4 linked regions of the Drosophila melanogaster genome follow. The protein of the gene in region 1 interacts with the protein of each later gene in a pairwise test. Each region holds a gene or a part of one and is shown on either strand. Other genes may lie near its edges.

Region 1 (9,644 bases):
ATGTATGACGGCCAGGTGCTGCACAAGCTGTGGGAGAAGCTCACCGGCAAGAAGCTGGACGTTCCTGAGGTCACCCAGTCAGAGCAGGGCCAGCACGAGAAGCTCAACATCGTCCTGAAGGCCGTCAACCATGTAAGTAGTAGTAGTTTATGTTTTGCAGGATTTAAAAATCGGAGTTACCAACATTTAATTATTTATCCATTCTTAAAGTCGAATAGAATAATTTTTATTCGATTTACAATTAACATTCCCTTTTCTCGCGATATAAGAATAAATTTTATCCTTGCCCACACCCACAGACACTCGGCTTTCACCAAAAGATTCCCAAGTGGTCGGTGGCCAGCGTGCACTCGAAGAACATTGTGGCCATATTACATCTGCTGGTGGCACTGGTGCGTCACTTCCGGGCGCCCGTTCGCCTGCCAGAGAACGTGTTCGTGACCGTCGTGATTGCGGAGAAGAATGCGGGCGTGCTGAACGCGCAGAAGTTCCAGGAGCAGATAACGTCCGAGTACGACGACCTGGGCATGCGCTGCGAAAAGGACGCCTTCGACACGCTGATCGACTGTGCGCCGGACAAGCTGGCCGTGGTGAAGAAGTCCTTGATCACGTTCGTGAACAAGCACCTGGCCAAGCTGAACTTTGAGATCAGCGATCTGAACACGGACTTTCGCGACGGCGTATACCTGTGCCTGCTGATGGGCCTGCTCGGTGGATTCTTTGTGCCGCTGCACGAGTTCCATTTGACGCCGCAGGACGTGGATCAGATGGTCAGCAACGTGGCCTTCGCCTTCGACCTGATGCAGGACGTGGGCCTGCCCAAACCAAAGGCGCGGCCGGAGGACATCGTGAACATGGACCTCAAGTCCACCCTGCGCGTCCTATACAGCCTGTTCACCATGTTCAGGGACTTCGCCTGAGTGAAACCCGGATGGAACGAGCCAGCGGGTTGCAGGAGCAACAAGCGGCGCCAATTTTACATTTTATATTAACTTTTTGATAGTGTTTACACGCCTAATTTATGTGCGTTCTCGAAACTGATTGTAGGCGATGCAGCGGTTAAAGCTTACTGATCCTAACTCTCAAAACCACAACTAAATGCTGCGTCGCGTATAATCAGCCCAAGGAATGTTTATATATATATATATATATTTATGTGTCGTACGTCTAACCACTGCGATCTGCTCCAGATTCAGATTGCTCGGAACAGGAAGGAGCAGAGCAGAGCAGAGCTAACCCAAACCCAAAATCCGGCGGCCAGTTGTTAACTTGTCTTACTCACGTGCCAGACGTTGTAGTTGTTACTAAGTGAATTTATTGTATTAATACATTATTTGAACACAATAACCGAGATTGTGCCTTTAGATCACACAGAGCTTTTGCAAATTATGTCACAGATCAGATTTTAACGCTGTAAATGTAGAAGTTTACGGAAAAGTCTTAAAAAAAAATTTTATTGTGTACGTTAAAAATTTGGATCAGAAAAATCAATAAATATTGCCAATAGCATATGTGTTATTCTATTTTAAACAGTTCCAAGGCGCAAAATTTATCTGGGGCTGCAGCACTCACAAACGCCAGCTTCCATCCTATTCACATGTAAGTTCTTTCGAGCGTCTCGAATTGATTGAGAAACAAACCTTAGTAATTTTCTGAACGCTGTGCTATTTGAATTGTCGCGGTTGCGCGCGCAACTCGCAACGGTCTGGTATCGATCACAGCTGCGAGCAGGCTGCCAGATCGCTTCCCGTTCGGGAACGATTTCGCATCGATTTTCGATTGCTGGCCGGTATAATTTGAAAATGTTACTTTGCTGACCGGATTTTGGTCCTTGGCCAGATGTTGGCCATGAATCTAAAAGCCAGTATTTAGTAACTTGCGTTGATTGCAGCCGCTTAACTAAGCCGCTTAGCCAGATATGTCCTAATGTTATGTGTTTCGTTTCGAAACAAGGTGGCAACCATGCGCATGCTTTTTATGATTTTCACAATAGCCGAGCGAAGTTTCAAGATTCTAGAACTACCCACCACACCAACGCTTCTGCTGCGCCGCCAGTCCCACAACTACGGCTACGACTACATCAGCCCCACGCACATCGAACTCAGCCGGGAAGCAACTCGCCTGGTAATTCGCCGTCTGCAGCGCACCGTTCTCCGCCTGATCCGTGACCCGGACTTCATCATGTCTGCCGAGGCGAATCCCGAGATGGATAAGGAGCACCACGAGTCCCCATTCGCAGCGAACCGCAAGGCCGGTGCCAGCGGCGCCGGCAAACAGGACTCGAACTGCCGCACCTGCAACGATTTCAAGTCGTGGTCCAAGCAGCAACGCCTCATCTCCAACGTGCAGAGCGCCAAGGTGACGTGATCGCGTTGGCCACTTCGCCTTCGCAAGCAGGACGATAACACAAGAATCTCCCACTTTCATACTCCTCCAGGTGAAGCACATGGCCGCCGCCGAAAAGCTGACCGTCAACGCCGCCGAAGATCCGCTGCCCCGCGACGACTGCCCGCTGGACAAGGTGAGGCTGGGAATTTCCACCTGGGGACTGCTCCACACCATGGCCGCCTTTTACTCGGACAACCCCACGGACACCGAGAAGCGCGACATGAAGACCTTTTTTGAGGTTCTGTCGCGCCTTTACCCCTGCGAGTTTTGCGCCAAGGACTTTCGCACCGAGTAAGTGCATCTTCAATCCATTTGAAAACGCTGACACTTTAGCTGGACCTCTGTTGCAGCCTGGACGTCAACCCCATCAATGTGAACTCCCAAAAGGAGCTAGCACTGTGGCTGTGCAAGTTCCACAACCGAGTGAACGACAAACTGGGCAAACCGCTCTTCGATTGCACCAAGGTGAACGAGAGGTGGCGCGACGGCTGGCTAGACGGCTCCTGCGACTAGGCGCCGCAGCTAACCAGCGCCGAGAAGCCCCGTCTCCCGCCCGTTGCAGGTTGCCATGTTGACCAGACTTTGTCCCACATTTTGCTCGGCTGGCCCACAACTACAACCACGGAACACGGGACTCCTGCTCGGCGGTGTACCGCCGCCAACCCGAAACTGTGCCCTGTTTCTGGCCAGAGGCCATGCCCACCAGTCGGAACCTGCGTCAGCGTGACATTAAATTGAGTTATGTTGTAATAGAGCGACACATCGAAGGTCCATTGTTAAATGATTTGCTGGCTATGAACTCCATTAGAATATACACATTATGTTGAGGACCCGTATTATGCCTTCTCACTGGCCCTGCAGATATCGCAATCTCTAATCTGCCGACTGGCGTTTATTAGATTAGAATGGGGAAGGCAAATGCTTTCCACTTCGATAAGATGGGAGTGGAAAGATCTAAAGCGGAGTTGGAATACAATGCTTAGTTGGTTCGAAATTAGGGGATTTGGCTGATACTTATATAGTTTTTAGATTTCCTTTCTATAATACCTAAAGGACTAAAGGTCTTAAAATTTGTCTGCTCTGGTTATATTTTTTAATATTTAACTTAATTTTTTTTTGCAATCAACGAAACATTAACATTTTATTCATTTAACATTTTAATATGCTTAACATAAGAGATATAAAAATTAGTGGAATTTTCGTAAGAGTAAGCCATTATATGATTTACTTATATAACATGATTGCTCAGCAATAGTTTAGGTAGTTTAAGCGGGGAAATTTAAATTTGGCTAATTTAAAATATTTAATACCTCAAATTTAGATGAACGATATTTTCGATTCATAATTATCGGTGATAACTTGTTCGATAGCTCTTCGTTCAGAAATAGCCAGATTTGGCGGCGAAATAGCTGCCCCCGCAGCGCCGCTGCCCGCACATTGTCGTGGTAGCCAACACTAGCGCACATCGCACTACAGTTAGTTGCCTGCTGGCTTTTGCGCGTCGCACGTATCACTTCGTCAGATTTCTCGATTTGGTCGAGCTGAGTAGAGTGTAATTACCAAACAAAGAAATGCGCCTGGCTCAAATTGAATAAATAAAAGCGCCCGCCGTGTGTGACAATCACTTTGCCCACCCCCTTTGGCCAGAAAAGGAGCGCCACTAGCAGCGGAGGAAGAAGCAGCAGCACCATCACCACCACCAGTTGTAGTACAGGAAGAAGAAGAAGCAGTTGCCCTGAAAGAGAGAGAGGGTGCGAGCGAGAGAGGACGAAGCTAAGACAGGGCTGTTCGACAACCAGGTGTTTACATCCTGCTATCCACCATCTGTGTGTGTGTGCATGTCTGTGTGTTGTGTCGTCATCAAACAGCCGATTAAAATATTGAAATCCGTGCAATAAACAATAGTGTCTGTTCCCCTTTCATACTTACTATTTATTATAATTTTTTTTTTTTAATTTTTTCCTTGTGCAAACCCCCTCCCCCCACGTGCGGTTAATCGAACACTGAAGTGCGAACGCGAAATTGCGAATTGTAAAATTCACAAGGTGCCCAATTTGAAGCCAAACGAGATCCGTAGCCACATCGCAATAGCAGAATGGCCCCGGCTCTAAGCAAATTGGCCAACAACCAGAGCGCCATCGTCGGCGTGGCGGGCATGACGGCGGCCCTCTGGATAATTGCCTACGGAAAGATGTCCAACAAGAAGCGGTAAGCCCCCCCTTGATCTTAATTACGGATAATTGTGGCTCAACCATGTTATTTATGTTGCCTGTGCAATATGCAATATTCTACGAACATCTTATTGCACAAGGTCTCGGTCTTGGCCATCGATGTGTCCGTGATATTGACTTGAGTTTTGGATCGCTGTGTATTTATGTACAAACAGATTTGTTTGCGGGACATACGATGCGATGCCACTATTGTGGGTCATCTGGCGGACTGCAAAAACTGGTTTTCCGATGGCCGTTTCTGCCACACTGTATGCACTTCCCCCTCATTGTAGTCCGGTTTCAATTGATTCGTCCAGCAGCCGCGCACAGTGGGCCGGACAGTTCGTTTGCAGCTCCAAATACTGTTCTTTTCAATTGTGTTACCCATTGCCATAATCTTATAATAAGTTTGGCGACCACCAGCTTACGTTTTGAAGATTCTCAAAAAGATATTTTTAAGTGCAGTCCCAATACAAAAAAAAAGTCAACAGATCATCGATTCATTTAAGTAGATGTGAACCAAAGTAGCTGGATCTGTTTGCAGTCTATCCCTATTATGTAGATATACTGATATCTAGGATAGGTCTGAATGTATATATTGTCTGGGAGGAATGGAGGAATTCCGCGTACTTAGCAGAAGGTAGACTCAGATAGGCACTACATTTCCGGCCAAACAGCAAACTCGATTAGGAAAGCCTTCTCGGCGCCCTCGACTATTATGACCCGAATAGCCACTTCTTGGCGGCCTGCTTCATTGCGGTATCGCTTCAAGGATTTCCCCATCGAGCACCTGCGATGCGGACTTGATTCCCCGGTTAAGGGCCACGTTTCGGTGTTTGAATGGACTTGGTCTTTGCCGCTAATCTAATCGGCAACGCGCCAGTCTACAGCACTTCATCTATATGCCCCATTCCACTATCGCCACTCGTGCCGATTATGCTGTTGTTAACGCGCTCAATATTTGGTCATATTCGATGTGTGCGGGGTTCGGCGCGCAATTGACCGCTATCAGTCGATTTCATCTTATTGAATAAACTGAACGGGTAAAGCGGGCGCAATCGACTATTTGCATGACAGAGCCAATTAATTAGACAGATTGCGGCGGACAAGTGGAGTGGGTGGGTGATTGCATTGCCAGCCAGCCAGCCAGCCAGCCATCCGCATGGGATTGTGGGGGATCTGCCGTGGCTGCATGTGCCACTCGTTAATTGCTAACATTACTCCGAGTACTCGGAGTATGCCGAGCACTCCGATGTTGGATACCCAACCGGTGGCCATCACTTTCAGCAACTTCTCTGAAGTGCACTGCACTTTGGCAGGCGATCGAAATCGAGCATTTTAATGCGCTGTTTACTTTTTTATGCAACTTTTGCGAGCGAGGTAGCCGCCACTTGTGGATGGCCGCTAAATTTATGCACCATTCCATTGTTCGAATTTTGCACAGTGGATGGTGCAGTCGGTTCAATGGATGCAGTGACTGGACACTCCACAGTCCAACCAACCAAATGGGCTTCGCAAGTGGAGCTCCACTTCGATTATGCTTTCATATGAATCAGTGGTTGAATTTTGTGGTTCATTTCATATAATTTCATTTAATTTCATTCATTCTATGATTCACTTTCAAGTCCAAGAGCTAATCGCTGAATGATTAAGAACGTTGAAAGTTTAAAAGGGACTTTTCGAATGTGTCAACGAGTTTCCGAGTAGCAACGCCTCTTGCACAACTTTCAAGGCGCTTTTTTATCGGTGTTTTTTTTATAGCCTCATATCAAGGACAGGCCCTAGAATTGTTAACTGATATGGTACGGTTATGCTAGCTCGTAGCACCGCCAATAATGTCTTTGCAATCTATCAAGGGTTTGGACAATTGGACAACACACCCAAGCTCATTAGTCCAAAGGTCCAAACACTTTGACTTGACATCCAGCAGCCTGCCTTGCAATCGAACACGCAACCACCGGTGGGCAGTTTGCTTTTGGTGTTGCAACAACACTCGATTGTACCCCTTACCCGGACCCAAGTCCGTACCCATACCCACACACACACACACCCATTCCATGGATGACATGATGACACCCGGGTATAAAGCATAAACATTACAGCCGTGCCTTTTAATGACTTGCGTCGTGCCATCCACAACATTGGATGGAGAGAAGCGCAGAGGACCAGTGGCTTCTGGTTTCATTTTTCCATTTCCATTTCCATTCGCATTCCCGTTCCCATTCCCAGCTCTTTGCCTTCGAGATGGGTAATGGGTAATGGGGTATAGGTGTTAATTTGTGTACAACTTGCTCTGTTTTTCGCAGGTAGACACATTCTGTATCGCCCGGCCCGTCCCGCCGGCTGTTGCGCAATAGCTTGTGTGGCTGTGCGCGCTCCAGACTTTCGGATGGGGAAGTGGAAGAGTCGGATGGATGGAGAGACCTTGTGCCCGGGAAACGCTTGGCCCTCGATAATCGGATTGCCCCGCAAGGCAGCCATTTATCGTGTAATTTGTATAATTCTCGCCTTTACTCGGACGGTGCGTGAAATGAGATCGTAATTTCAATGCAGATTCGCAGCCGAGCTCTGACATTTGCACCTGTTGCGGATGCCACGTTGCCAAGGCCTGTATGTCTGTCTGTCTGCCTGCCTGCCTACCGCTCACTCACTTACTCACTCACTCACTCACTCACTTACTCGCTCGCTCACTTGCTCACTCGCTCTCACTTCTGAGACATCGCAAGCGGAGTGGAGTGAGCGTGTGAGTGCCGGCAGACTGACTACGGGTCTTGAGGTCTACAGGTAACAGCCAAGGCAACAGGTGATGAGTATGCCCGAGCTGTGTCGAGCTATCTGATTTTGGCCAGCGTTTATCAGACAAACTAGCTCGATAGCGGCTGCTATGCGGCACAAGAACCACTGAACTTTGATTGCAATCCGCGGCAATGTCTCTATCTGAGTCAGACGCCAACCGATCTTCTCGCGCCCGGGTTCAATGTGCCCCCCATTAGGCGATCGCCGGCGATTAGCGAAAGAGAGCTTTGGATGAATCGCAGGGGCAGGCGATTTCGGAATGGGAATGGGAATGGGAATGGGTATGGGTATGGCAATGGGAGCCACCGGTGTTGACCTATGGACCCAAACACATGTTCCACGTCTAGGCGGTGAAAACAAGTTTAATATACTACGAATCAAAAAAGGAAAACCACACGAGAGACAGCCAGACACACAGACGGATTGAAAGATAGATAGATGGAAACATATATATATATATATATATATATATATATAGAAATAAATACAAGAGCGCTATGAATAATTCAGTGATCTGCGCAGCGATATTTAAGAAATAACCAAGTCATCACGACTCGTCGCTTTTTCCAGCCTGCAGATAACCAAGGCGCGAGCTTTGTACTTTGTTTGGCCTAACATACCAGTAGCACCAGCACCAGCACCAGCACCAGCACCAGCAACACCAGCACCTCACATCTCATCACCCACATTATCCCATAGACTTCGAACCCTGGGCAGGTGGCGATTTTGGACTCCATCCGATTCGATACGATACGATCCGATCCGATCCGATCCGATCCGATTGGCGATCCAATGCCGGTTAGCCAATGGCCCAGTGGCTTGTGTTGAGCTGGTCAGCTCTGGGCACCGGTTTTCATCCGGACCTTGATCCCACAACGATTAGCAGCTGAAAAGAATTCAAACAAATTATCTCGGAAGCATTTCATGTAGCAAATTTGGGGAAATGTGCTTTTTTTTTAATGTACGCTCAAGCAAAAGTGATAACGAAAGCCCATAGCTTGTGAGTAATGTTTGAGATAGTTAAACTATTTAGCCGAATTTCCATGCAATCTAAAATAAATATTTTATGTTTTTTTTTTTTTTTGGAAATTATAATCGTTTTAATTGATAAAACTTATCGATCGGCTAATTAGTCGAAACATTTTGTGAATTACGCACGTTAAATGGTGGACTTAAAAAGTTAGCCAACTGATTTATTGATCGATTCCATGGCATCTTGTTTGGAAAAGTTTCTACATATATCTGCACAATATTGAGTACTTTGCTCACAGCGACTTCGCTTGCAGTATTGCTGCATAGACGGGCTAAATGTTTGTTTATCAAACGAATCGAATATTTAGAGTGACGATTTGTTAACGCACGCAAAATTTAGCAGGCTTCATGTGAATAATTTACCGGATTGTAAAAAGTACGAACGATGATCGAGTCGTTTTTTTATTTTTTTGTATTTATCTATTTGTCATTAACCAACCTAATGAAGTGCGGTGGTGTGAAAAGTCATGGCTCATCCCGGCGTCTTAATTGTTGGATTTAATCGCACACCTTCATTGCAAATAAGCGACTTTATGGAGACACTAAACACGAAGTTCGTTCTTTATTTGCGGCGCCGATGATAGCGCGACTTGCTATAAAAAGGCAAAGGTTGCTATTCAAATTGGCTATCCAAACAGGGAGTTTAATTATTGTGATTTATTTCATAAATTTGCCATCAACGTTGCACATTTGCCTGGCCAATGATCGAAACTGCACAACATCGTTGGCTAAAAACAGTTTTGGAATGATAAGACCACTCCTCTTATCAACATTTTTCATAACTGCTGTACGAGTTTTAATTTATTATTAAGTTTATTGAGCCATAACCCAAATCCATTAGCACTCAATGGAGATTTTGAGCAGTCCAATTGTCTGCCATCCACAAAGATCAAACATATGTATTATTATATCTATATATCTATAGAGGGCAAACAGAAAGAACCTTTGTAAATACGGCCAACTAATAGAGTTATTAATTTCTCTCATATTTTATTGCTTCAAACGACATATAGCTTAGTTACAAACACTTTTAATATGCTATCTTCATTGCAGAAAACCCGGCTATGAGGACAAGATCCAGTACACAATTGCCGAGAAGAAGGATAAGAAGGCGGGAAAGGCGCACGTTAACTCAGTATTCTTCAAACAGCTCCGCCAGCTACTCCGTAAGTAGATCCTCATAGAGATCCTTTAGCAGTCTCTCGGATCACGTGCAAC
Region 2 (8,233 bases), on another chromosome or scaffold:
CCGATGTTGGTCAGACCTTGGTGGCTGATAAGAGAGTTAACCTCGTTTCCTTCACCGGCAGCTGCCAAACTGGTCGGGATGTGGGTGTTGAAGTGCAGCGCAGATTCGGCAAGGTGATCCTCGAGCTAGGCGGCAATAATGCCCTAATCATCGATGAATCTGCCAACGTGAAGATGGCCCTGGACGCCGCACTTTTCGGCTGCATTGGCACCAGTGGTCAAAGATGCACCACCACCAGGAGGATTATTGTCCACGAAAAGCTGCACGATCAGTTCGTAAAGGAGCTGGTTGGTAAATATAAGCAGCTAATTTCCAAGATTGGACACCAGCTCGAAGCTCAAACTCTGGTGGGTCCCGTGCACACGCAACAAAACGTGGAGAACTACAAGGCGGCCATCGCGGAAGCGAAATCCTTAGGAGGAACGGTGGCCTTCGGAGGTAATGTCATCCAGCGGGATGGTTTTTACGTAGAGCCCACAGTGATCACTGGATTGCCGCACGATGCCAGCGTTGTCCATCGCGAAACCTTTGCACCAATTGTGTACATCCTCAAAGCCAAAAACGTGGACCAGGCCATCGAATGGAACAATGAGGTGGAACAGGGCTTATCCTCTGCCATTTTCACGGAGAACATCGGGCAGGCGTTCAAGTGGATTGGAGCCAAGGGTTCCGATTGCGGTATAGTTAACATCAACACCACCACCAACGGCGCCGAGATTGGTGGAGCTTTCGGAGGCGAAAAAGCCACTGGAGGAGGTCGCGAGTCCGGATCCGATGCCTGGAAGCAGTATTGCAAGCGGGCCACCATTACAGTCAATCACTCCGGAGAATTGGCCTGCGCCCAGGGTGTTGTCTTCAATGTGGAGTAGAAAACACATACGATCAATTTTAATGTGCTACAATTTACAATACTATTACATATAATGTCCAAAACTAAATGCAACTGATATAATTCTTCCTATTCCGTGCCGATTTCAAAGCGCCAGAAGTCCACCTCAATATCCTTCGACTTCTGCTTGTGAAACTTGTAGCTGGCGTCGATGTTGTACCGGAGTTCGGCGACCACTGAGCCGCGGGCGCCCCATTCCAGTGCCTTTTTCTGAATGTACGACCTGCGAACAATTAAAATCGATATTTAAATTGGCTTTGATGTACTATTCCACAGTTGTTTAGGCTTGGCTATTCTTCCATAAAAAACAGGAAGGGGTCGAATAATAAGATACCCTTTTAATTAAAGAACTCATCGTTTTAATATGAGTAGCATATATATTTTAAAATATTTAATTTCCATAATTTCTCACTAAAATCTAAACTATTGATGGAACGTGCTGCATCTTATCCACATACTTTATGTGTAAAGCAGCTGCAGGCAGTTGGGACCGCTGCGGCAGCAACCACCCCCGCAGACAGGAACCACTGCATCTCTGGGAATGCGGCGGCAAAGGCTGGGCGGACCGCGGTAGTCTCTTCGGAAGCACAGTCTCTCGCACACTGTCCCGCCAGCGGACACTCGAATGGGGGTGAGACGGCATTGGCCGCTGCCCAGGATTTGCGCATCAGTGGGCATGGGGGCCAGAAGAATCGCCAGCACCACAGTGATGATTAGAAGGCTACGTGAGAGGATCATCTTGCTGCTGACTTCTAGTTGCTATCTGTAACTTGTTGGTGTTTCTGCGGCGTTTTATAGTTGTGAGCAGCGCTCTTAACAAAACAACAACAAAAGCAGAAACAGCGGTAAGGAAGCACATTTACCGAAAAGCGGGTACAATTGTATCTCTTGTTTACTGTGCCAATAACAAAAGATTGCGCATCTGTTTATACCAGCAGATATTCTTAAAGTATAAATCTGCATATGTACATTCATATGCCGAATATTGAGTATCAATATATTTTAAAATATATACCTATATATAGACCAGTAAGCATACTACTTGAGTATCTGTTTAACCAAGAGATCTACACTATTAAACAAGAGAGAATGGTATAACCAAGATTTCGAATATCAGATACGCCGCTCATCTAGAGGGATTGCTAGAGAGGAATTCCAAATTTTGTTTAGATATGGATAGAAATTGTAAAGGAAATAAGATAAGTTATATCAAAAGATTTTTTCAAAACGTTGGTTATACACGGCTGGTAATCCTAATTAAAAATATACTTTGTAAAGCGGAAATCGCTTCCCTCTACCTGTTACATTCTTTGCAAGAAAACTTAAGTTTTCCTCTACGAATATCGATTATAATCAATTTTATACAGACTTACCGTGTTGACGTCTTGTGTAGGGAGTAAACTGCTCTGTTGGCCAACCGTAGGGCCACCTCCAGAAACCGCATGTCCATGCCGGCATTGTGTTTCGTGCCGAATGGGGGATTCATCAGCACCGTGTCAAAGGACTTCTCCCACTTGCTGCCGATCAGCTGCAGCACATCCGCCCGCACGCAGTCAACATTGGGTAGCTCCATCTCCACCACATTGCCCCTAAAGGTGTCCACGGCATCGCCGTCCAGTTCGAAGCCCACCGTGAGCTGGGCGCCCAGCAGAGTGGAAGCAATGCTGAGCATTCCGCAGCCGCAGCCCAAATCTCCCACCAGCTTTCCCTCGATGTCCTCGTGCTGCGACTGCATGTGATGAGCCATGCACGCGGCTATGTGCGGCGGAGTGGGGTACTGTTCCAACAGGATCTTGGGCTGCTCGAAACCGTCAACGCCCTGCAGGTACTCCTCCAGTTTCCTCAGCTTCAACCGGGCCATTGTGGATCCGGCTATTTGCTGATACTGTGGCTGGGCGGAGCGTTCGGAGTAGTGGGCGTGGTCGCAGGCGACGGCAGCGGCTCCAGACGAGGCAGCACGGGTATAAAGCTATTTCCAAAATACGAATCCTGAGGTATAAAGAAGCCCAAAGTCGTAGAGCTCGTTGGATTAAATGCAGAGCGGGCGGTGGATGTGGCATTGGTGGCAATGCCCACGCCCGCCTGGAAGTCTGGATTCACTGTCGTCGGCTGTCCCAGCAACTGGGGTGCGGGCATCTACGATAGAAGACCAGGTAAACACATTTTCCGATCGGCATGTTCCCAACGAACTCACCTGGTTCGGCGGACTCAGACCAAGGTTTATGATCCCGCCCGCGAGCAACTGCTTCTTCGTCTGGATCTCTTCGAGTATCTTGCGGTTCGTCTCGGCTTGCTGGGCACTTGTGGTGGGAAAAGCCATCAAATAAACTAGTAAAAGTCTGAACTATATCAAAAACTTCTTGTAGACTGCTGCTCCTGCCGCTGCCTTTGGCATTTTGCGAGCAGTGTGGTCACACTGGCGAGTACTGTAGTGTGGCGGAAATAGTAGCGGTATTCGAACTGAACCAAATGTGCGAATAAACAAAAAATCTGCAACAAACAAGAGTGTTAAGCGAATATTGAATTTGTGCTTAATATATATATAATTTGTATTTAATACAAATCAAATATTAATAATATTGGTGACCTTTTGGTGCCACTTAAGTTTGAAGTATTATTAGCATTCCTCTATTTGGTCACTCTGCAAGTCTTACAACGTGAGCAGACAACAACAAAATTACATGTTTATTTGGAATAATCACAAAAAACAAAAAACTTACCAACTTAGTGGAATAATCTTAGGAAATATCTATTAATTTGCGCGCAATCCGTGCAAAACAAGTGAAGCAACATGAGTATGAGCGACGACGACCGCGACATAGACATCGAAAGTGACGTAAGCAAGGCGTAGAGGAAAATACTGATACGTGTGTTTAATATTGATTTTAATGCCAAATTAACGACTTTTTAGGAGGACGGGGACTCGGACACTGGCTTGGGATCCTCGCGACACACAAACACCGCCAATTTCACCCAGGTGACTATCCATCATGCATAAACTGAGTGGGAAAAAGCGACTGCGCACATTGCCTTTTGTTGATAAACAGAACGCACACGTGTTGTTGTTGCTGTTACAGAATCGTGATTACGATACAGCAGAGTTCACAGCAATAGGATTCGTAATCGAAAATAATCTTAGAGGGACTGAATATATTATATATTACTATTTACTAACTTATCTTTCTGTTCATATTGCTTTGAGACCATTTTGTTCCATTTTTGTTATTATTTCCATACTCTGCTGTATTTACGATGGAATTTCCTATATGCTAATTTTAATGTTTGTTTCAAGGCCGAAAAGCGGGCGCACCACAACGCTTTGGAGCGAAGGCGGCGCGATCACATCAAGGAGAGCTTCACCAACCTGCGTGAGGCGGTGCCCACACTCAAGGGCGAAAAGGTAATCCAGAAGAGCAACAGGTGACACAGCCGGGCTCATTTTCTGCCAAGAAAATCCCATAAGTCCATACCAGTTCGTTTTACAATAAACTACATTATTGCTTGTCAAATTAAGCAAATCGCATAAAATATATTAAAAAAATCCACACCCTGTGTGATGAAGCTAATAAGAAGTAGTAATAAGTTAATAATACATATCTTTTGTTACAGGCGAGTCGAGCTCAAATCCTGAAAAAGACCACCGAATGCATACAGACGATGAGGCGGAAGATCAGTGAAAACCAGAAAGACATCGAAGAGATCAAGAGGCAAAACAACATAATAGCTAAGCAGAGTGAGCAACTAACTACTACAGGTTATTAATGAACTTCCTGCTAAGATACTTTATATACTTTCCAGTACAAGCACTGGAGAGTTCAAATGGGGATCAGTTCAGCGAATTTCTCAGCGACGAGGAAGTGGGCAGCGAGGAGGCCGACGACGAAGACCTCGACCAGGACTTCAGTAGACGCAATAAAAAGATGAAGACCTTCCACGCATAGCCGCTGATCCAATCCAAAGTGCTGCTTACAGGCGTGTTCCGGCTTCCGTTTTCACCGACATTCTGAATTCTTACGTGGATTTAGTTCAACTTTGAGTTGTGTTATACGAAAGCAATAGCCCTCGAAAAGTTGTGAAGGAAACGGTTCCAAATTCGAATTAAAGTGAAAATTAAAATTATGTGGAAATGAGAACAGTAACAAGTCCGATAATCATAATCATCATTAGCTGTAAGCCCAAAATGTAACCCACCCAATCGACCTTAATTTGTATGCGTGCGTCTTTTCTACTTTCAACAAATTGTCACTCTGTGCGCAAAGAATAAAGTAAACTAGTAAGTACATATTTTTAGAAAAAAACAGGGGCTTCTTGTTGATGAATTCTATTATGGAAATTGGAAAATATAACGGACCAATTGAGTAACATGAGTGCTGCTTTTGAAGAAGTTTATAAATGATAAAAGGATTGACATTTTATGCGATTAGGGCTAAATAAAATCAGCAATTTTTGCAAGTAATTTGATCACTTGATACTGGAACCTTCCCTTATTTATATCTGGAATCTCCTTTTGCTTATTACTCGAGAACTATAAAGAACGAGCTGAAAAAACTTTAACGTACGTATCTGTCTTTCTAATATTGGTTTGAACTTAAGAAATATATTTAACTTTATGGTTTTAAGCCAAAAGTGAACCGCATTCCGAACCAAATACAACCTTCGACTACACTAAACCATACAAATATGTGGGTATATATTTTATAAAATTACCAACAACTACTTAAACTTTAGGGTTATCCAGAGGATTAAGAACACGACGAGGATGAAGAGGAACATGTAGCACATTTGGCGAGCACCACCGCCCTGTTTGGCCAGTCGCACCACCCGCGTCATCGCGTTGCCCAGAAATCCACTCGTCCGGTCCATGTCGTCGTCGATGCCGCGCAGCAGCTTGTCCTGGTAGCGCACCTCATTGCCTATATCGATGGTGAGGGACTTCAGGGCCCCGATCTTCTGCTTCAACTCCTCCGCCGCCTGCTCGTTTTCCGCCTCCAAGGCGTCGTGGCTCGCAGGATGGGGCCCTGAAGGGTGCTGGTTTAGGGGCTGGTACGGGTAGTTGTTGCGGCGCATACTGCTCCCCGAGTGTGCCAGTTTGGCATCCGGATTGCTGCGGATCGGGTGAATTTAACGAAATTAATTAATTATAAATTAATACAATGCTCACAAATCTCAGTTTTCGAAGTGACACGTAAACGTAAACATGTAATCTCACCCAGCGGCAGAACAGCTGTTGGGATATACGCTTCTTGGCTCAACCTTTGTGGTTGACTGTGCATTGACCCTTGACCTCGTGTTGTGATTTCCAGAATCGGTTGACTAATGCCTCTACTTATTAAACGAAACTTTTTAAATTCTCATGCAATTCAATTTTTAGTCGCCGAGCAGTGTGACCAAAGCGGAGTAGCAAAATTATTCCGTAGCAATGCGTGTGGCAGAGATTACGATTTTCAATTAACCCATTGCTTGCCAATACGCTTTTAATATCGTAAGTTCTTTCTATAAGTTTCCAAAACTTACTATATATATATATATATATTGTTTTAAGATTTCATAAAAATTTGATTAGGGAAATCGGGACAGACAACGAGACAGTCGGCGGTCGGCAAAAATTCACCTCCAAATAACTAAAAAATAAATAAATAAAAATCGTCCCCATGTTCAAAATTCCACAGTTTCACCATCGCCGCTAAAAAAAAATTTGTATTATATTTAGGTGTTCATTAAAATATGGTACGTACAGTTATTATTACACATATTATGTGTAAGAATTATTAGTTTATTATATATAATGCAAAAACAATATTAGTTTAATATTAATTAAATAGTAATTAGGCAATTCAAACATTATTTGTAATTATTTCAAATAAAATAAATAAAATATATTCATAAAAATATGGGACATATGTAAAATATGTCAAAGAATTATTTAATAACAATGCATAAAATACTGTTATTAGCAGTTCGTTTTAATATGCAAACAAATTTAATCAAATATAAATAAAGCATGTTTTTAGTAGATAGTAAAAACATATATGGTTATATGTGGATCCTAAGTACTACTTTTAAATGTTAGAAACAGTGGGTTAATCCGTGTGCCTATTACTGTTAGAGTCGGGTAATTTCCGTGCTCTCGCCTACGGCCACACTGCTCCAGTGTTAGTAACTTAACTTTAGGTAATTTTGGCCATAATTTGGCATGCCGCTCTCGATTTTGTTGCTCCCGCTCGCTTTCATCAACTGGCCGTGAAATCAATAAGCATAAAATATTCAAGTTCGTGCGGTGGCAAGTGCGTCATTATCGAGTTCACTGGTTCGCCGAGATAATGCGACCTTTGCATTTGAATTTTCATTGACCCTGACCAAGTGCACTCGTTTGTTGTTGCTGTTGCTCTTCCTCTTTTCTTAATCAGCCTCCCCCTTGCCCCTTGACGCACTCCTTTGATGATCAAAAAACAATCAGTTTGCGTAATATGCGCCAATGACAACAGCAACAATTACGGCGTGATAAGGACTGGAGCGCAATAACCCAGCGAATCCGAATCACGCGAGTAGAGTTCACTGATAGCACTGCAACTCTTTTCTCTTCTAGATTTAGCATGGCGGAATTCGAGGAGGACTTGCCCCACAATGGCCTGATGGACGGGATCGCCTCGGGAGTGGGCGTTCCCGTGGAGGCACTCCGGCTGCTACTCACCATTCTGGCAGGTAAGATGCCCCAGCAGCAGTGCTTTTTGGTAGGGACACTGAATACTCGAAGTATCTTAAAGTCAAGTGATTAAGTTAAGATATTTTCTCCGGATATTTATATCCGCATATCACGCAAATTCATTGCACATATACGTTATACATATGTTTGCACAGGTGTTTATAAATTATGTACCTATCATTGAAGACTGTGTTATTTTTGATTTTTTTTTTGTCAGTGGTCATATACAACTTGCATGGTTTTAATTGAAATGTATCGTTAAATGAACTTTTTCACAAACTGCTTAGTAACAATAAGATTTAATGCTTAACAATGTTCCTAAATAAATTACAAACCCCTTTAAAATTTTACCATGACTCCCAAAATTCCATAAAAATGTGACTCATTCCTATTAGATAGGAATTTGATTACAGTCAGGCTATGCAAAAACGTTAACTAAACGTGAAAGAATCGTTGAAGCTTCCAAATTAGTTGAAAATGTTTACTACATGATTTAAACTTTGTATTGCTAAATCAATCCAACTAATGTATATAATTTGTTTCAGGTTATCCGGTGGCAGCATTATATCAAAAATTTATTTCTGTTATTGCCGATAAAACAGTGCATCACATGTTCTTTGCTGGATGCGGCGCTGGATTGT
Region 3 (7,666 bases), on another chromosome or scaffold:
TTTCAAACACCAAAACCTTCCAAAAACGAGACCAGAAAATTAAACCCCCTTTGCGATGTTGCGGCTGCCACTGCTCTTTTGTTTGGCATTCAATTAACGGGAATTTGCATTTTACCTATGGATACACCATGCCACTATATATTTCGTACACTTCTTGATGTCGCCCAAGTGGGCGTGGCCAGCGCAAAAGCAAAAGATCCCAAGTGCTAAATCAACAAAACAAAAGAACAACGACCGATACAAATTTGTTCGCTGCTGCGCTGCCTTTAATTACAACTTTTAGCATTGATCTTCGGAAGCAATCAACCAAATGCTACTAAACAAATGCGAAAACAAGAAAAATTCCATCAGTCGAGTGTTTGATGGTAAAATAAACACATAAACCCAGATTCTCCACTCTCGTGGGTGGATTATAAACTAAATGATACAATGTAATATTTTTTAAATATTTATAAAAACTAGATAGGAAGAGTAAGAAATTCACTAATTATTCAACCAGTATAGCTTTTGTTTTTAAGCAATGAGTTTGGCATACATGTCGAGCAACCCTCGCTGAGCATGAAAATCACTTACACGTTCATCAATAAACAATGAACTTAACCTCCGAGTTATTTATATGTTTATTATCCGCACTACTGCATAAACCTAGATATCTTAGGCTAGCATTAGTTTTAGTATTATTGCTGTGGCTCAAGATGGTTCCAACTATTTTGTTTTCCAAGAATCTATTGTAGGTGATAAAGAAACTCTGTTCTCTAATTAACTATATATTTAAATATATACATATTTATATATTATATACATAAGAATTATGCTGGTGTTATGTATTACTCCTTACTTTGCTACATTTCCAGCACATTAACTTTTATGCATTTTCCAAGAAACCCTTTTCCAAGAAACCCTTTTCTAGATCCCAAGTATCCAAGTTATGACCAAAAAGGGTGGACTTGCTATCGACGTCACGTAGTATCCAGTGATTATTAAACGATGATATAAAGCGGAAACCCCAGACTTTGTCCCGGCCATCGTTTACACAGATATCTGGATGGCTGTGGCCTAGACTGTTAATGATATCCCGCCCCACCCCCTGGCCACCAAATTCACGATGCATGAGGGCAATAACAATTATTATCGGGCTGAGCGGCGCAGTACATAAAACCCGATGGGTCCCACATGCATACATAAATAATACATGAATGGTCGTAGAGCCCAAGATGACCAGCAATTGCATTTGTGGTTTTTGGGCTGGAGTCGGAGTTTCAAGGTCGCGTTACACACTTAATTTTACATTGGGCCTGCATTGTCTGCGTGGTTTGTTGGACAGAGGGGGGAATCTATATACCTCGATGAGGAGTGACCGAACCAACCGGTTCTGCATTAAAATGATCTTGCTGATCTTCTGGTGCAGCAGCAGCAGCAACTTCTTCTTCATTTTGCCTCAATTTGGCAATATGGACGAAGCAACCACAATATAGCCGGCATGACATTGAATTGTAAATTTCAGACGATAAAAACAAAAAAAAAACGCTTAACGCATAAAGTATACGTATGGCGAAGAAAACGATAAAGCAGAGAGGTAAATAAAATGTAAGCCGACATCCGATGCATGTGCATTTTTTTATATGCGATGCGACTTTGCATTAGAGATGCGATCGTGATACAGTTCAATGCAATTCTATTAAAATTTAAATAAATATATATATTTTTTTTAATATTTAAACGTTTTTTGGTAAGACCCAATAACATTTGTTATACCCACCTGTGAGCACTTAAATTTTCCTTTCGTTTTAGTCACCTGCCCTCTTTCGATAGTCGCAACACGTGCCGAGTGCGATGCAAAAGGTCAGACATATGCAAACAAAGTACACTTTTTGCGCCATGTTTGCTATCTCTGTTCCCCCTTTATCCACTATGTACACCCCCTTTAAGCCGCCCAAGACCATCCCCTTCACACCCCCTTACCATTTGGTCAACTGGTGATGTTGTTGTTGCTACTGCTGCTTCTTCGTTGTAAAAGACATTGACATTTTTTTTTTGCTGACCGTTTGCTCAGTTGCTTTTCTCTGTACTTTGTTGTCGTTGTTTAATGGTTTTTATACATATTTTTTTTTTTTAGCCAGCTATTGTTGTTGGTAGCATCGCATTACGTCACTTTCACTGTAGTTTGCGGCTTAAGGCAGCCTTTCGGCTTTACGTTGTTGTTGTTGTTGTTGTTGTGTTGTTGTTGGCACTGTTTGCACTTGTTTTTGGTACAAACAAGCAAATTGCAATAAAAATGCTCGAAATTTATGGTCCACTGGCATACATACATTTTGTTTGGTATGATTTATCCGAGACTTTTGTTCGCCTTGCTTTCCGGCGGCACAATTTATGCCCGTTTACATGGTAAACTTTTGCTGTTTTTCCCAGTAGTTACCCGTTCATGCTTTTTGGTTCAAGTTCATCAGTTGGCCACCGAATTCGCAACTGGGATCAGGTTTTATGGTTATCGTCTTGATAGATGCGACGTTAAGTTCGCCAAGTTAGACTCGTATATCAGCAACTAGTTGGTAAACACTCATCACAAAGTTGATTTGAAAATATTTAACGCTGTAAGTTTGTTCATTGCGCATACGCCGTGTTAACATGTGGGTGTACCTACCACATTACGCATTCGCACCGTTTGCTCATAGAGCTGGGGCTTTGATAGATAAGAATCGGGCTGAAACAATGTCATTAGTCCAGTTAACGTGGCCTGACTAAACAAGCTAATTTCCCAGTTACCAAATGTCGGCAATTTTCGGTCAGTTATTTTGAATGAATCCAATCATCCGAGCATTAAACAATGTGGCCTCTGCAAAGTTTAGCTTTATTTTCATGTTTAGGAGCTCTTCAAGTGCACAGTGTGAGTTATTTAAATAAACCATAATTTTAATACATAAAGTACTACTTCTTAAGCAGATCAGACTGCGGCTTGAGCACTTTTATGTCAAATCTTTTGTACCAGATGATATGTTCGCGGAGTATGACATTGTCGACTATGAGAAAATCAATGTGAATCTCACAGTTCAAGTGCCCTTTCCTGGCAAGCTTCTCATCCACATTTTCGTAAGGAAGCTGTCAGATCAAGTTGGTGGTTCGAACTACTTCGATCTGATTCGCATGACGAACAAGGATCTCTGCAAGCTCCTCGATTCACTTCGCAATATTACAGTGGAGGAAATTCCGGGCGAAAGCCTTTTGCCCTCGACTTTTGTTGTCTCATGTCCTTTGGTTCCAGGCTTCTATTTTGTTGAGAATGGCGTTATTGATTCCAAACTGGTTCCTTTCCGCATTCCCGATGGCAGATACATGGTACTTTTTGAGCTGATACAAGTCTACGAGGAAGTTATGAAGCTGATTTCATGCAGAATCAAGTTTTCCATTAAGACACCACCTGGATACACGGAACCATCGCTGTTTAAAAATAGCGAGGAAAATAAAGCGACTGAGAAGCCAGTAGAGAAAACCGAAGAAGCAAGTACAGAGGTTACTCAGTCGAAAGAGGATAGTTCGGAAGTATCAAACGATTACGAATAATGTAATTTTTGTAACTTAAATTTTTTCAAATATATTATACATGGAGCCTCTCCCTTTTTTGCTAAATTTTTTCACCCAAAAAAACAATTTTTACACATTTTCTGCAAAATAGTACCATCTATCACCGAGTTTCGGGTGCGTAATAAAATTTATTATCTCCCACTAAAAATTCGCCGGGATTGAGACATATCGCACATGTTACAGCCACGCCCATAAATGTTAATTAAAAAACCCAGGGGCATGGGAAATATATCAAACATGAATTTAAACCGCGCGAGACAAGCCGACGACAAAGACTAACTCAAAGATATCCATTCAATCCAATCTTTTAATTTGTTGTCATGGTAAACTTTGTTTGTGATATCCATTCGACACGTATTTGTTTTTGTGGAGTACAAACTGTGGAATGTTTTTTTGAGCTGCGTTGACATTGTGGCGGCATTCTCGAAAGTTCGTTATTTACATATTTAGAGCAGGGCGAATGTTTCCGGTTTTCAGCTGCAAGATCGTCGTCAGCATCATCAATACTTGCACGATGACTGGGCAAAAAAAACACTTGGCCTCCGTACCAATCATATGTTGGTTTTTATACCATCGCCCAGCCCAAAATGGTTCCGTCGTTTAGCTTAACTTTTATTGATTTAGTATTCCACTCTACAGGCCTGACAGCTGTTCAAAGTGTCAAATATTTATGGATCCTCTGCTCAAGTGATAATTTATATTTTAATTGGCTTGACCACTGATCATTCGATCATTGGATCTTGAACTTCAGATTAACTTACCATTTGAATTGGGTGATCGAGGGGCTCTAGATACACTGAATTAGCAATTAAACTGCCTGGCATTACAATTTCCGCCTTCTTCCGGGTTTTGTTTAAATATTACTCCGCTGACCGCATTTGAGGTGACCTTCATTTGTCGATGTCTTCATTTACCCAGTCTGATTATTATTTAATCAACGATCAACTTCTTCAGTGGCTTAGCGAAGCAAACAAAAGATGCCACCACCAAGTAAACAGGGCAGCCTGGTTTTGCTGCTCGGTCCCGCTGCCGAAAAAATTGGCCCGAAAAAAAAAAAAAACAAAGCACCTGCCTCAACATGCCACGCCCCTTGAATCGTCTGCTTTTGGCCAGGTTTTTCTGTTTATACTTCTTTTTCGCTTACCGTCTTATTTATGCGAGACTCTTTTGTTTATGTATCGTTCATTTGTCCTCTTCTTCATTGCAAACTGCAGTTTACACATGACATTATCATCGATGGTCACCCAAAAGTTTGGCTATAAAAAGGCCTGATGCCAGATGGAGCCATGTGCAGTCGATATTTGGATTAATCAGCGTAATCATCTCCCCAGCAGCAGCAATCATGAAGTACCTAGCTCTGGTGAGTATTTGGATATAACATTTGGATTAATAATTGGATTAAATGATTTCCAATTAAGTGCAACATATGAAGTTGTTTGTTGAAGTATATTAAATTTTCAATTTGTACTAAAAATCTATTGTAATTCACATTTTTCAGACCATTTTCGTGTGCCTTATGGCCATCGCCCTCATTTCTGCCGTGCCCGTGGATGAGTCCCTGATCGGCGATAATATCTACCAGCCTGCCTTCGACGATGTCCAGCGTCCCCAGGATCCGCAGGCCATCTTCAAGCTGAAGAAGCTGCTCAAGTTGAAGAAGCTCCTGGGTTAGGAGAAATTCGCAATAAGCTTCGTTCAGATTCTAGTCCAGCCAATTGGGAACCTTGCCTCCCCCACTACATTCGATTTTCAAACCGTTTTGTTTAGACAATACCCAATAAGCACAAACACACAAACACACACAAAAGCACATACATACGAGTAAAGTATACGTAATCGTAACTAAAATAAATGTTATTTTCATACACGTCGGCTTTTCTTATATCATCGAAGCGTCGGGGATGAGATCTCCATGTGTGTCCAAAAAGGAGCTAATGACTGGCAGCGGGTCGGGTTTTTGTTTGCCTAGATCTGAATAAGAAACCCGTTTCGGATCGTTTCTGGGTAGAGAGTGTGAAAAGCGAACGGAATCTTCCTTACATGCGTATAAATATTGGCCAATCTCAGTCGTAAATGAATCAAGTGGGTTCAATGATGTGCTAATACAAGGAGCCCACTGTGAGATTAATGATCATACCTACTTTCATTAATTGGCATGATTAGTTAACTTGATATGCCAGTAATATTATAGCTTAACTAAATATAATATATTAAATATTTTCAAGTATCAAAATTATGTAAAAAGTAACGATAACTCATCACATATTGACATATTGAGAGCTGGTCACGAAAAATCGGACATGATTGCCATCAAGTTGAAGCACATGGTTCCAGCCTTTCAACTTACCATAAATTTTAACATTCAGGTGTATTAGTAGTATTAGGAATGATTTTAATGTGATCGTAAAAAAAGAAAATTATTTGGAATTGAAGGTTGGACCTCTTCAAACAAAAGACTTAAGAAGCGAACTTGTTTTTTTTTTGGGCACCATTTTGTTTTAACCTTGCAATAAAAAATGAATAAGTAAAGGTTTCGTTACCAAATACTTTCTTTAATTTCACTCTTGTTTTTCTTCTTAAAAACCTAAACACATGTTAAGTTAAACTATAAATCCATAAATGTGAGGGTGTGGTGTCTAGCCCAGGAACAGCAGCTTCTTGAGCAGCTTCAGCTTGAGCAGGAAGGATTGGTCGTCGGATGGGTTGACGGACTCACTGCCAGGACCTTCGAAGCCATCGGGAATGGCCTCCTCGCGAGGAGCAGCACTGGTGGCCATGAAGCACACGGCAAGGCAAAGGAAGACGCTCTGTAAAGGAAGGGTCAGTAAAGTTCCTTGGTATTCCGTGTCGATTTTTAGTGACGCACCAGGAGCAAGAACTTCATGTTGTATGTGGCTAGATGTATGTAGTAATCGATCGATGGATTCGCACTGCGCGTTGACAGACCTGCTTGCACTGATCACCAGACCCCGCCGACCCGTCTATTTATATGCCTGTTCAGTTGAGAGTGAGTTGCTCGGCCGGCAGACCGCTCGTCTTTCATAGAAACTAAAACAACGCGAAGCATCAGCCAAAGATTCAGTGATTCACATGTCGGCGGGCGGGGTGGTATATCAATCTGTTTGGACTATTAAAAGTGATTTTAGTCCAACACGCAATGTGATAACAAAAGCCAGGTTCCCTTTTTCGTAGCCAAGTAGATTACCTTATTGTGGTGCCATTGTTGAACTTGCGACGCCTTATGTTTGGGCAATTTGTTGACTTGCGGTTTCTCCGGCTTCACTTCTTTTTGCTAATCGGTGTTTCCTTGGTTCTGGGTTCTATTTGACTTGGCCATTAGCTGCGAGCGGAATCTCTGCTAAATATTAATTAGCAACTTGACATTGGCCTTAACGTTCAGATCAGCCATTAGCTTTTCGTTCACACCTCCATAATAGGCTAGAGTAGCTGAATTATCCGAATATAGTTATATTTTTAAGTGTGTATGCTGGCAGACGGCGAATAACCCATTGCGCAAAATTGATAAGATTTTGAGATTTAAATTTAAGCAGGCGGTTTGAAAATGCCGACCTGCCAACTTTTCGAAATTAGCTGCATTGAGTAAATTAAAAGTCGAATGTAGAGTTATTTGTAAATTTCTAAATATTTCACATCCAAGCTAAAATCTGTAAAATCGAAGTAATTTTATTCTTATAATTAAATGTGTTTACATTTTAATTAAGATTTGCTTTCCATAATTATCAATCAAGATTTACAAAATGGAGTAGAAAAGAGGAAAATACATAAATCTCCTCTTTGATTTTCCCACTTTTGAAAATTTAAATAAATAGCGCCAATTTTCCAGTGCTGCCACTCTTATCAAAAAGTTTGCAAGAGAACAAAAAATCGATTGGCCTCGCCAACAACATTACTCACTGCACTAATCGATTATAATTATATATTAAAGCACAAAAAATACCAACAGATATCGAAATTCGATAGCATCGATACGCTGTAACAAACAAATAAAAAAAAAGAAACAAATTAGTCAAATTACAAAATTTATCAGTTATCCAATTGCACACAAAAACCAACTCAAAATTAGCCC
Region 4 (7,789 bases), on another chromosome or scaffold:
AGAAAAAACCAAATGAATAAATGTTTACAAGCCAAAGGAGCACTAAGTGAAGACAAATTGTTTTTGGCAATTTGTAGCTCCTTCCTGGGATTTTTCTAATATTTCCACAAATTACGTACACAATTTCTCGGACTTAAGATCCAGATGCTGCCGAAAATAACAAAATTATTAAGAATGCACACAAATGAGTAGCTGGGAAAAGGGGTCCAAATTGCTTGCGGCTTGTCTGCACTCAAAATTGGCTCGAGTGTGGATTGCAAAAGTGACCAATTTTATTTGCAAGCATACCATACTATATTATGTGGCATGTTGCCGGCAGGAAGTGGGCTTGCAGTCCGTTTACTGTTCCAATGACCTTTCGACATGAGCCAGTCGAGCGGACGGAGGCAGCCAGCCGGAAAGCAACGAAAAGTGGCACAGTACAAAAAAACAATGCCGACGCCGTGCGAGGCGGGTCCGGACTATCTGATACCGTGTACAAGCACTATACACATCCAAAAAATATACTTCTTCATATAGAGATTTTAATGTAAATATAAATATTTGTTTGAATATTTAATATTATTTGTTAGCCTTTTTTAATGCTTACCAAAGTTCCAAAAGACCCACATCTTTGGGCCGGAAAGCAGCTCGACAACATAAACGGCGACCTTTGACTGCCACAGACGATGGACGAGTGCCGAGGGTGGAGGGGGGGGGGGGGGACTTGTGGGCTGAGTTGGTGGAGCTTCTCTATTCATTTGGCCCGACGACTGGGCGCTCTGCGTTGATTTCCGTTTGCTGCATGTAAGAGTGCAACTTGAGCCGGCACTTGCACTCACTTGAGAGTGTGTGGGTGGCCGTGTGGTGGGGGCTTGAATTGCGGGTGGCTGTGTGGGTGTGCGTGTGTGTGGAAAACTAAACTGTTGCCATGTGACAAGTGGCAGCTTGACGACAACAACAACAACAGCAGCTACAGCTACAACAGCAGCAGCAGCAGCAACAGCTAGAGCAACATCAACGTCAGCATCAATGACGCTCGGTGCGCACTTTGCCGCAAACAAAACGGGGCAGCAGCATGCACCTGCTGCAGCAGCAGCAGGAGCAGCATGGCTCGGGGATCGAGGATGCGGGGAGCAGGAAGCGAGTGGAAGAAAAATGACGAGGACCATGAGAAGGACTTGACTCACTGTTGTTGTTTCAAGTTAAAAACTGTAGAAAGCGCACTCAAAAATTGCCACAAAAAGGCAGCAGCAGCAACAGCAGCAAAAGCAGTCACCCATTTTAGCACTCAAGTAATGAGTCGCCGTCTAGTGCTGTTTAACCCATGCCAGCGAACTCGGCAGACAGTTGCAGTCAAGGGGGTTAAGTGTTGGAATTTAATACACAATGCAGGCAGTCACCTGTGCGAATGTTTATTGAACCCGTGCAGTCGAAGTTGAACCCAATGGCAGCGCAAGGCGCATAAAAGCCATGGAATAGAATCATTTAACACGAAAATCCGATTATGAAGCTCGTACGGACAAAGTCAATATCCTTGTATTTATTGAGTGGAGAGAAAAATATACTACTTCGATTTGGTGAATTGTCAATGCAGCAACAATTGAAAATCATTTGAAGCCTTTCAAACGACACACAAAAGAAATTGATTTCACTTCTTCATTTTCTCTTCATCTTTTTGCCGGCATTGCCTCTTCGTTGCCATGAGATTGGATTTAAATTTACACCAGGACTTGGCATTGACGTCATCACAATTGTGACATCTTGGTCAACGGCTGTGAATAAAATATGCATAGCGTAAAGGAACACCACCATTGCAAAGATATTTATATACAATTGAACATTCCTCAAGGACATTGGCTCAAAAGCTGAGGCGTCCGCCCTGAAAAGTAGGCAACAAAAAAAACCATACGTAAGTGCCCCAGGTTGTCAGTTCAAAGGGATATGGTAACCTGCTCGAGAATAATGAGCTCTCCGCCCCCTTAAAAAAGTCGGCAACCCACCCTTGACCCCGTTGGATACATCGGGGGTCACTTCCAGCACATTAACCCTCAAACTGGCTTAACTAATTCTCTTTCGACTCGGCAATTCAATTAGCAGTAAGTCCATGGACACACACGCTCACAAACATAAAAAAGGACGTTTTAATCGAATTTATGTGTATGTGGCACACAACGGAGAAGGGGGTCAGTTAATAGTTCTGCCTTTGGGCCAACAAAAGGCTTACCTCAAGCCAGCTAGATAGTCAACCAGCCAGCCGTGGGCGGATTTATCTATTCTATTTTGTAATTTTTAATTTCACAACTAATGCGATTATTCACGGCTGACGGACCAGCCTGGCAATAAAAATGGCCAGTGTGTAAGCCACGTTTAACACTCGGTTTATTTTTAGTTAGCCAAACGCTTTCTCTTCCATTCGCCCTTCGCATCCTCTGAAAATACGCCAAAACTATTCGCACACGAGCTAGCTCTAAGCTCCAACTTTAAGCCCCCAGATTGCTGCCAAAAAAAAATTGGACCTTCAATTTATATACGAAGATTTGGCACCCTTTTGTTAGCGGGAAATGGAATTGGAATAATGAAAGTTGTAAAAAATACTAGCAGCGCAACAGAAGCAAGACTACAGAAAAATATTTAAAAATGAATTGCAGTTTAAAGTCAATATACCATCTATTTCATATTAATATATTTATGTTAATATTATATTAATTTAAAAACAATTTCTTAGCACAGGATTCTCTAATAAAACGGCTTTCTTTATTTAACATACTATATGGATCTCATGAACTATATCACGTGTAGGTTCATTTGCTTGGGTGGGAAAATTGCCACCGAATGCAGTGAGCCGTGCAAATCTCACCGAGAGCTGTGAAAAACTGGCGAAAGTCCGACATAAACAGTACTCATCTGGGAGTCAAGCCGTATTCATTGTCGCCACCGGGACTGCGAATTAAAGCTCCGCGGCGTGCCCATTCTCGGTTATGAGCGCTTAAAGTCGTCCATCCCACGCTTAACATTTAATTAAAAATTTTGTAATTACCGCCGGGGAAGTGGGTTTGCCTTGCTCTGCTCCGCTTTTCACTTCGCTTTGCCGCTGGCCAAAGATGCAGCTGTCTCGAGCGCGGAGCTCCTTTGCTCCTCTGCTCCTTTTGCTGCGTGGCCCTTGCATCTTCCAGGATGTGAACCCACTTCCCGGACTTTGTTTGTCTTGGAGAAGCGATTCACACCCCAGTGGTTTCGTCGAGAACGGCACCTAACTGGCAATGCTATGAACTTGGCAGCTGACTATGCTGCTCTCCATTTCGAACTAATTGATAAATGTATACTACTTAGTGGTTCTCTATACTGAAACGAACGTGGGAAACCTGGTCATTGTCGTTGGCAAGCTGCGGGATTCTGGTTCGTTCATTAATTTGTTGCAATTTCTTGGCGAAGTCAAAGTCTCGGCTCAGTTGCAGAAGATGCTTCGGTTATGCAATGGCTACGCCACCGACATCCCTTAACATTTTACGCATTTTTCCAGAAATTCCATTGTGTTGCTGCACGTGCCAAAATGTATTTGGGCGGGCTTTTGTTGGGGTGGGCGTGGCATCAAAGTGCATGCAAAATACGTGACATGCATATTGAAGTCACTTACTATTTATTTTTATTACGCAAAGCAGCCAGAACTTTTTACACATATTTTTTTTTTACTAGTTCTCCTTTTGTTGTGGCAACTTTTCCGGAAAGGTATCAGCGGCAACAGCTGAAAAAGAGGGAAAAATAGGGAAAGAAAACTACACCAGCTCCCCCTGACATGTTTAATAAATGGCAGTAGCTGTCAGAGGAAAGTCAGAGTTTTTTCTTGTTAACCTTCATTGAAACTTTACTGAAGTGAAGGTTCAATACTTATAATTTTTGCGTGGGCTCATTAAATTTCAAAAAGTTTGATATTCAATTACCATTAGGCAGAAATAATGCCAAATTTATGAAATCCATTAAATCTGATTTCGATTCGAACATCCGCATTATTTCACATTTCCATTGTGCATGTCGACCTGTGAATTATGCCTACTGCTTATCGACCCAGAAACATTTCATAGGACTAATTAGCGTCCAACGAAATCAAATTTCGCCCTAATAAACCCATAACAGCGATATCGTGTTTCGCGAAAATGCCAAATTTTCATAAAACCTCAAAAATTGATGGGCTGAGAAATAGGCAAAATGGCATCGCAATTATGCAGCAGGACTTGACAGGACTAGAAGCGACAGGCTGGGTCAGCCGAGGACACAGTTTAGCACCTAGCTATGACCATAAAAATTTGTAATTTTCCCCAACACATATTTCCTTTTTGGCAACCGTCCAAAGTATGCAGCGTGAAAAGAAAGAGGGCAAAAATAAGAAAAAAATTGTTCAGGCCGTAAATAACCAAAGTAAACAACGCGACAAGCGGTTTGGCGGAGCAGGAGGTCGCTGGAAAAGAGCAGACAAAGTCCCGGCCGCAAAAGCCAAAACTCACTGCGAATGTGAATATTCTTGGAATTTTCATTTGTTGTCTACAGTTGCATGGGGTTGCATAGTTAGGAATGTCTTTTCTCCAAAAAAAAAAAAAAAAAAAAAAAAAACTGTAGTCAAACCAAACCAAACCATTCCAAACTAAAACCCCCTTTTCCACCCACTGTCAACGCAATTTGTCGCTTTGTGTTGCTCCTGCCGCTGCAGTTGTCGCTTCATTTTTGCAACAAAAGTGTTGCAAAATATGTTGACAGGAAATGTTATGCGAATTTCACTGCGTATAAAATGAAATTTACGTGCAACTTTGCACAGTGTGTGTGTTTAGTTTTGCCGGAAAAGCTTTGGTGGCCGGCCTTTAAAAATTGTAAGAGTATATAATTGCCAATGAAAATCAATCATTGGATTCGAGCTCAATGCAAGCTGATTCAGTTCCGAGTTTTGAGACTCAATTAAATGCACGACAGATCGTACTTCCAACTGGCTCATATTGTGTACAGTAACCAGTTGATCGCAATTAACTAGCTAACTAGATACAGATAAGCTAGACGCCATAAATTAGCCACAAGCCAGTGTGTATAAAATTCAGAACCGCCTTTCTGCGAGTAACAGTTTATCGTGAGGTGCTACTGTGCTAGGAAAACCCATGTCCATATTTATCTTGAAACAGATTCTGCGAATCGTTAGATAATGCTTAAGCTATGGCTAATATGTATCTTGACTGTCAGCGTGGTCTCCATACAGGTAATCACATCTGAGGTCTGTTTCATATGGCAGTTAATTGGAAAGTATGGTTTTTATTATAGAGTCTCTCACTTCTGGAGGAAACCAATTACGTGTCAGATTGCCTGGCCAGCAATAACATCAGCCAGGCTGAATTCCAGGAACTCATCGATCGCAACAGCTCCGAAGAGGATGACCTCGAGAATACCGACAGAAGATACAAATGCTTCATCCATTGCCTAGCGGAGAAGGGAAATCTTTTGGATACCAATGGCTATTTGGATGTGGATAAAATTGATCAAATTGAGCCCGTGAGCGATGAACTGCGAGAGATACTCTACGATTGCAAGAAAATCTACGATGAGGAAGAAGATCATTGCGAATATGCGTTTAAGATGGTGACTTGTCTAACTGAAAGCTTCGAGCAGAGCGATGAGGTCACCGAAGCGGGTAAAAATACAAACAAATTAAACGAATAATCGGTCTAAAACTGGTCAAGCAACTTAATCGCAATTGTTTTATGCCAGCGGGAAATTCACAAGCAACTGTTTAGTTTCATTTCTACAATGTTCATCTACAGACTTGTATTTATTGCGCCTCTGATTTTGTTATTGTTCAGCTTGGCCAAGGTGGGATTGATATTTATATTTGACTAAGCTTTTGATTTATTTTCAACAAACTACAATATATAGGCTCGCCACCCCTTTGATATATTTCATTGGAATTGGCAAGACTTTCAGGAGTGTCTACAAGTTAATAATATTACCATAGGAGAATATGAGAAATACGCGCGACACGAAACTTTGGATTACCTGCTCAACGAGAAAGTCGACTTGAGGTACAAGTGCAATATTAAATGTCAGCTGGAAAGGGATTCAACGAAATGGTTGAATGCTCAAGGCAGAATGGATTTGGATTTGATGAATACGACCGATAAGGCATCCAAATCCATTACCAAGTGCATGGAGAAGGCTCCCGAAGAACTTTGTGCGTACAGTTTTAGACTGGTGATGTGTGCATTTAAGGCTGGCCATCCCGTAATTGATTCGGAATAAATGTCAATAATTTAAATATATGGAAACAATCAAAGTACTACAATTTCCACACATAACTCACATAAGTTTTACTATTTCAAACGAGTGATTTGTAGAGATTGTAGATCTAGTATGTACTTAACACCAGTCAAATAGGCGTGCCACGTAATTTTTATTAGAGCTTATTCGAAACGAGTAATTAATTTTAAGTGTAACAAAAAGTTGTCGCATAAATCAAATGATCTTAAATTATGGGTACATAAAACCGAGGGAAAATATAGACGCTTAGCTTATGACCCTACCAATGATTGATTTACAATCTCATGAAATTAAAAATACTCAGGCACTATTCTGAATAACAGGTCTATCAACTCAATGGCAATTGTGTTAAATAAGTGGAAAATTGATTTTAAGCTGTTCAGTCTGAAGTTAACAATGTTCAACACTAGACTTGCCATTTTTTTGCTTCTTATCGTTGTTTCGCTTAGCCAAGCTAAGGTTAGATACACGAACTAAAATATATTTGATTTACAAATAAATACATTTTAGGAAAGCCAACCCTTTGACTTTTTCGAAGGAACCTATGACGATTTTATTGATTGTCTGAGAATCAATAATATTACCATTGAAGAGTATGAGAAGTTTGACGATACCGACAATTTGGATAATGTCCTCAAGGAAAATGTCGAACTGAAGCACAAGTGCAACATTAAGTGTCAACTGGAAAGAGAGCCAACCAAATGGCTAAATGCTCGGGGTGAAGTCGATCTGAAATCAATGAAAGCAACCAGTGAGACAGCGGTATCCATATCAAAGTGCATGGAGAAGGCTCCCCAAGAAACCTGTGCCTACGTCTATAAATTGGTAATATGTGCATTCAAATCCGGACATTCAGTCATCAAGTTCGATTCATATGAACAAATACAAGAGGAAACCGCTGGACTAATAGCTGAACAGCAGGCGGATCTGTTTGATTACGATACCATCGATTTATAAAATCAAAACAATGTCGCCATAGTCACAGTAATATATAATCATTTTAATTTGCGGGCTTATTAGCATAATTAATTAAAATTGCACGAGGCGTGCCGCAGGGCGCTTGAATTAAATCAAACCGATCCGAATGGAATCCAATTAATTGCTTTGACCTGGAATCACGCAGCAGGTTAACACATAACAATAATAATTGATTCGTTGCAAATCAGGTAAATTCCTACAATCTGATGCCGTGAATAGAATCTTTCCATATTTCTCAGGACCTGCCTCCGATTTGTGTGTGTGTGTGTGTGTGTGATTTTTTGTCGTTCCCGAGCAGGAAAAAACATTTTCCCCACACACAATGCGATTCCGTTACAGTTTTCCACGGGGCGTATGAGTGTTTATTTGTGTGCGACTTTTTGTCGCTTTCCTTTGTGCCGGCAGGCGAATGCAACGGAAGTTGTCATGTTGCATTGTTGCAGCTGCTGTTGATGCCGCTGCCATTGTTATTTCGTGGAGCTGAGGCTTCGGGGATCGGGATCAGGGCTAGGCATCGGCTGAAAGAAAAGACGAGCGTGCA

What was found.
Region 2: the proteins of Abcd3 (region 1) and Bet1 interact in a two-hybrid assay, tested with the Drosophila melanogaster proteins (one large-scale study listed by BioGRID).
Region 3: the proteins of Abcd3 (region 1) and CG15212 interact in a two-hybrid assay, tested with the Drosophila melanogaster proteins (one large-scale study listed by BioGRID).
Region 4: the proteins of Abcd3 (region 1) and Obp57c interact in a two-hybrid assay, tested with the Drosophila melanogaster proteins (one large-scale study listed by BioGRID).

Annotation. Positions count from the first base shown.
Region 1 is NC_004354.4:19,746,951-19,756,594, forward strand, and holds the start of Abcd3 (ATP binding cassette subfamily D member 3), read left to right. Parts: upstream 1-3,819; 5' UTR 3,820-4,187; exon of another isoform or gene 4,188-4,397; 5' UTR 4,398-4,483; coding exon 4,484-4,596; intron 4,597-7,920; exon of another isoform or gene 7,921-8,353; coding exon of another isoform or gene 8,354-8,394; intron 8,395-9,479; coding exon 9,480-9,592; intron 9,593-9,644. Other genes in the region: parvin, read left to right, coding at 1-132, 300-920; Alr (augmenter of liver regeneration), read left to right, coding at 1,963-2,358, 2,438-2,679, 2,739-2,901.
Region 2 is NT_037436.4:19,259,473-19,267,705, reverse strand, and holds Bet1 (blocked early in transport 1), read right to left. Parts: upstream 6,313-8,233; 5' UTR 6,051-6,312; intron 5,994-6,050; 5' UTR 5,957-5,993; coding exon 5,603-5,956; 3' UTR 5,269-5,602; downstream 1-5,268. Other genes in the region: Aldh7A1 (aldehyde dehydrogenase 7 family member A1), read left to right, coding at 1-869; CG45081 (uncharacterized protein), read right to left, coding at 1,349-1,627; Mettl5 (methyltransferase like 5), read right to left, coding at 959-1,112, 2,263-2,750; CG42374 (uncharacterized protein), read right to left, coding at 2,762-3,025, 3,084-3,209; Max, read left to right, coding at 3,681-3,725, 3,801-3,866, 4,182-4,289, 4,499-4,622, 4,688-4,830; nes (nessy), read left to right, coding at 7,483-7,591, 8,138-8,233.
Region 3 is NT_037436.4:5,126,683-5,134,348, forward strand, and holds CG15212 (uncharacterized protein), read left to right. Parts: upstream 1-4,862; 5' UTR 4,863-4,921; coding exon 4,922-4,939; intron 4,940-5,077; coding exon 5,078-5,251; 3' UTR 5,252-5,445; downstream 5,446-7,666. Other genes in the region: CG4597 (uncharacterized protein), read left to right, coding at 2,825-2,884, 2,941-3,558; CG15213 (uncharacterized protein), read right to left, coding at 6,216-6,386, 6,446-6,463.
Region 4 is NT_033778.4:20,498,503-20,506,291, forward strand, and holds Obp57c (Odorant-binding protein 57c), read left to right. Parts: upstream 1-5,081; 5' UTR 5,082-5,164; coding exon 5,165-5,218; intron 5,219-5,280; coding exon 5,281-5,676; 3' UTR 5,677-5,700; downstream 5,701-7,789. Other genes in the region: Obp57b (Odorant-binding protein 57b), read left to right, coding at 5,764-5,826, 5,890-6,252; Obp57a (Odorant-binding protein 57a), read left to right, coding at 6,667-6,729, 6,781-7,227. UniProt on the Drosophila melanogaster protein: Present in the aqueous fluid surrounding olfactory sensory dendrites and are thought to aid in the capture and transport of hydrophobic odorants into and through this fluid.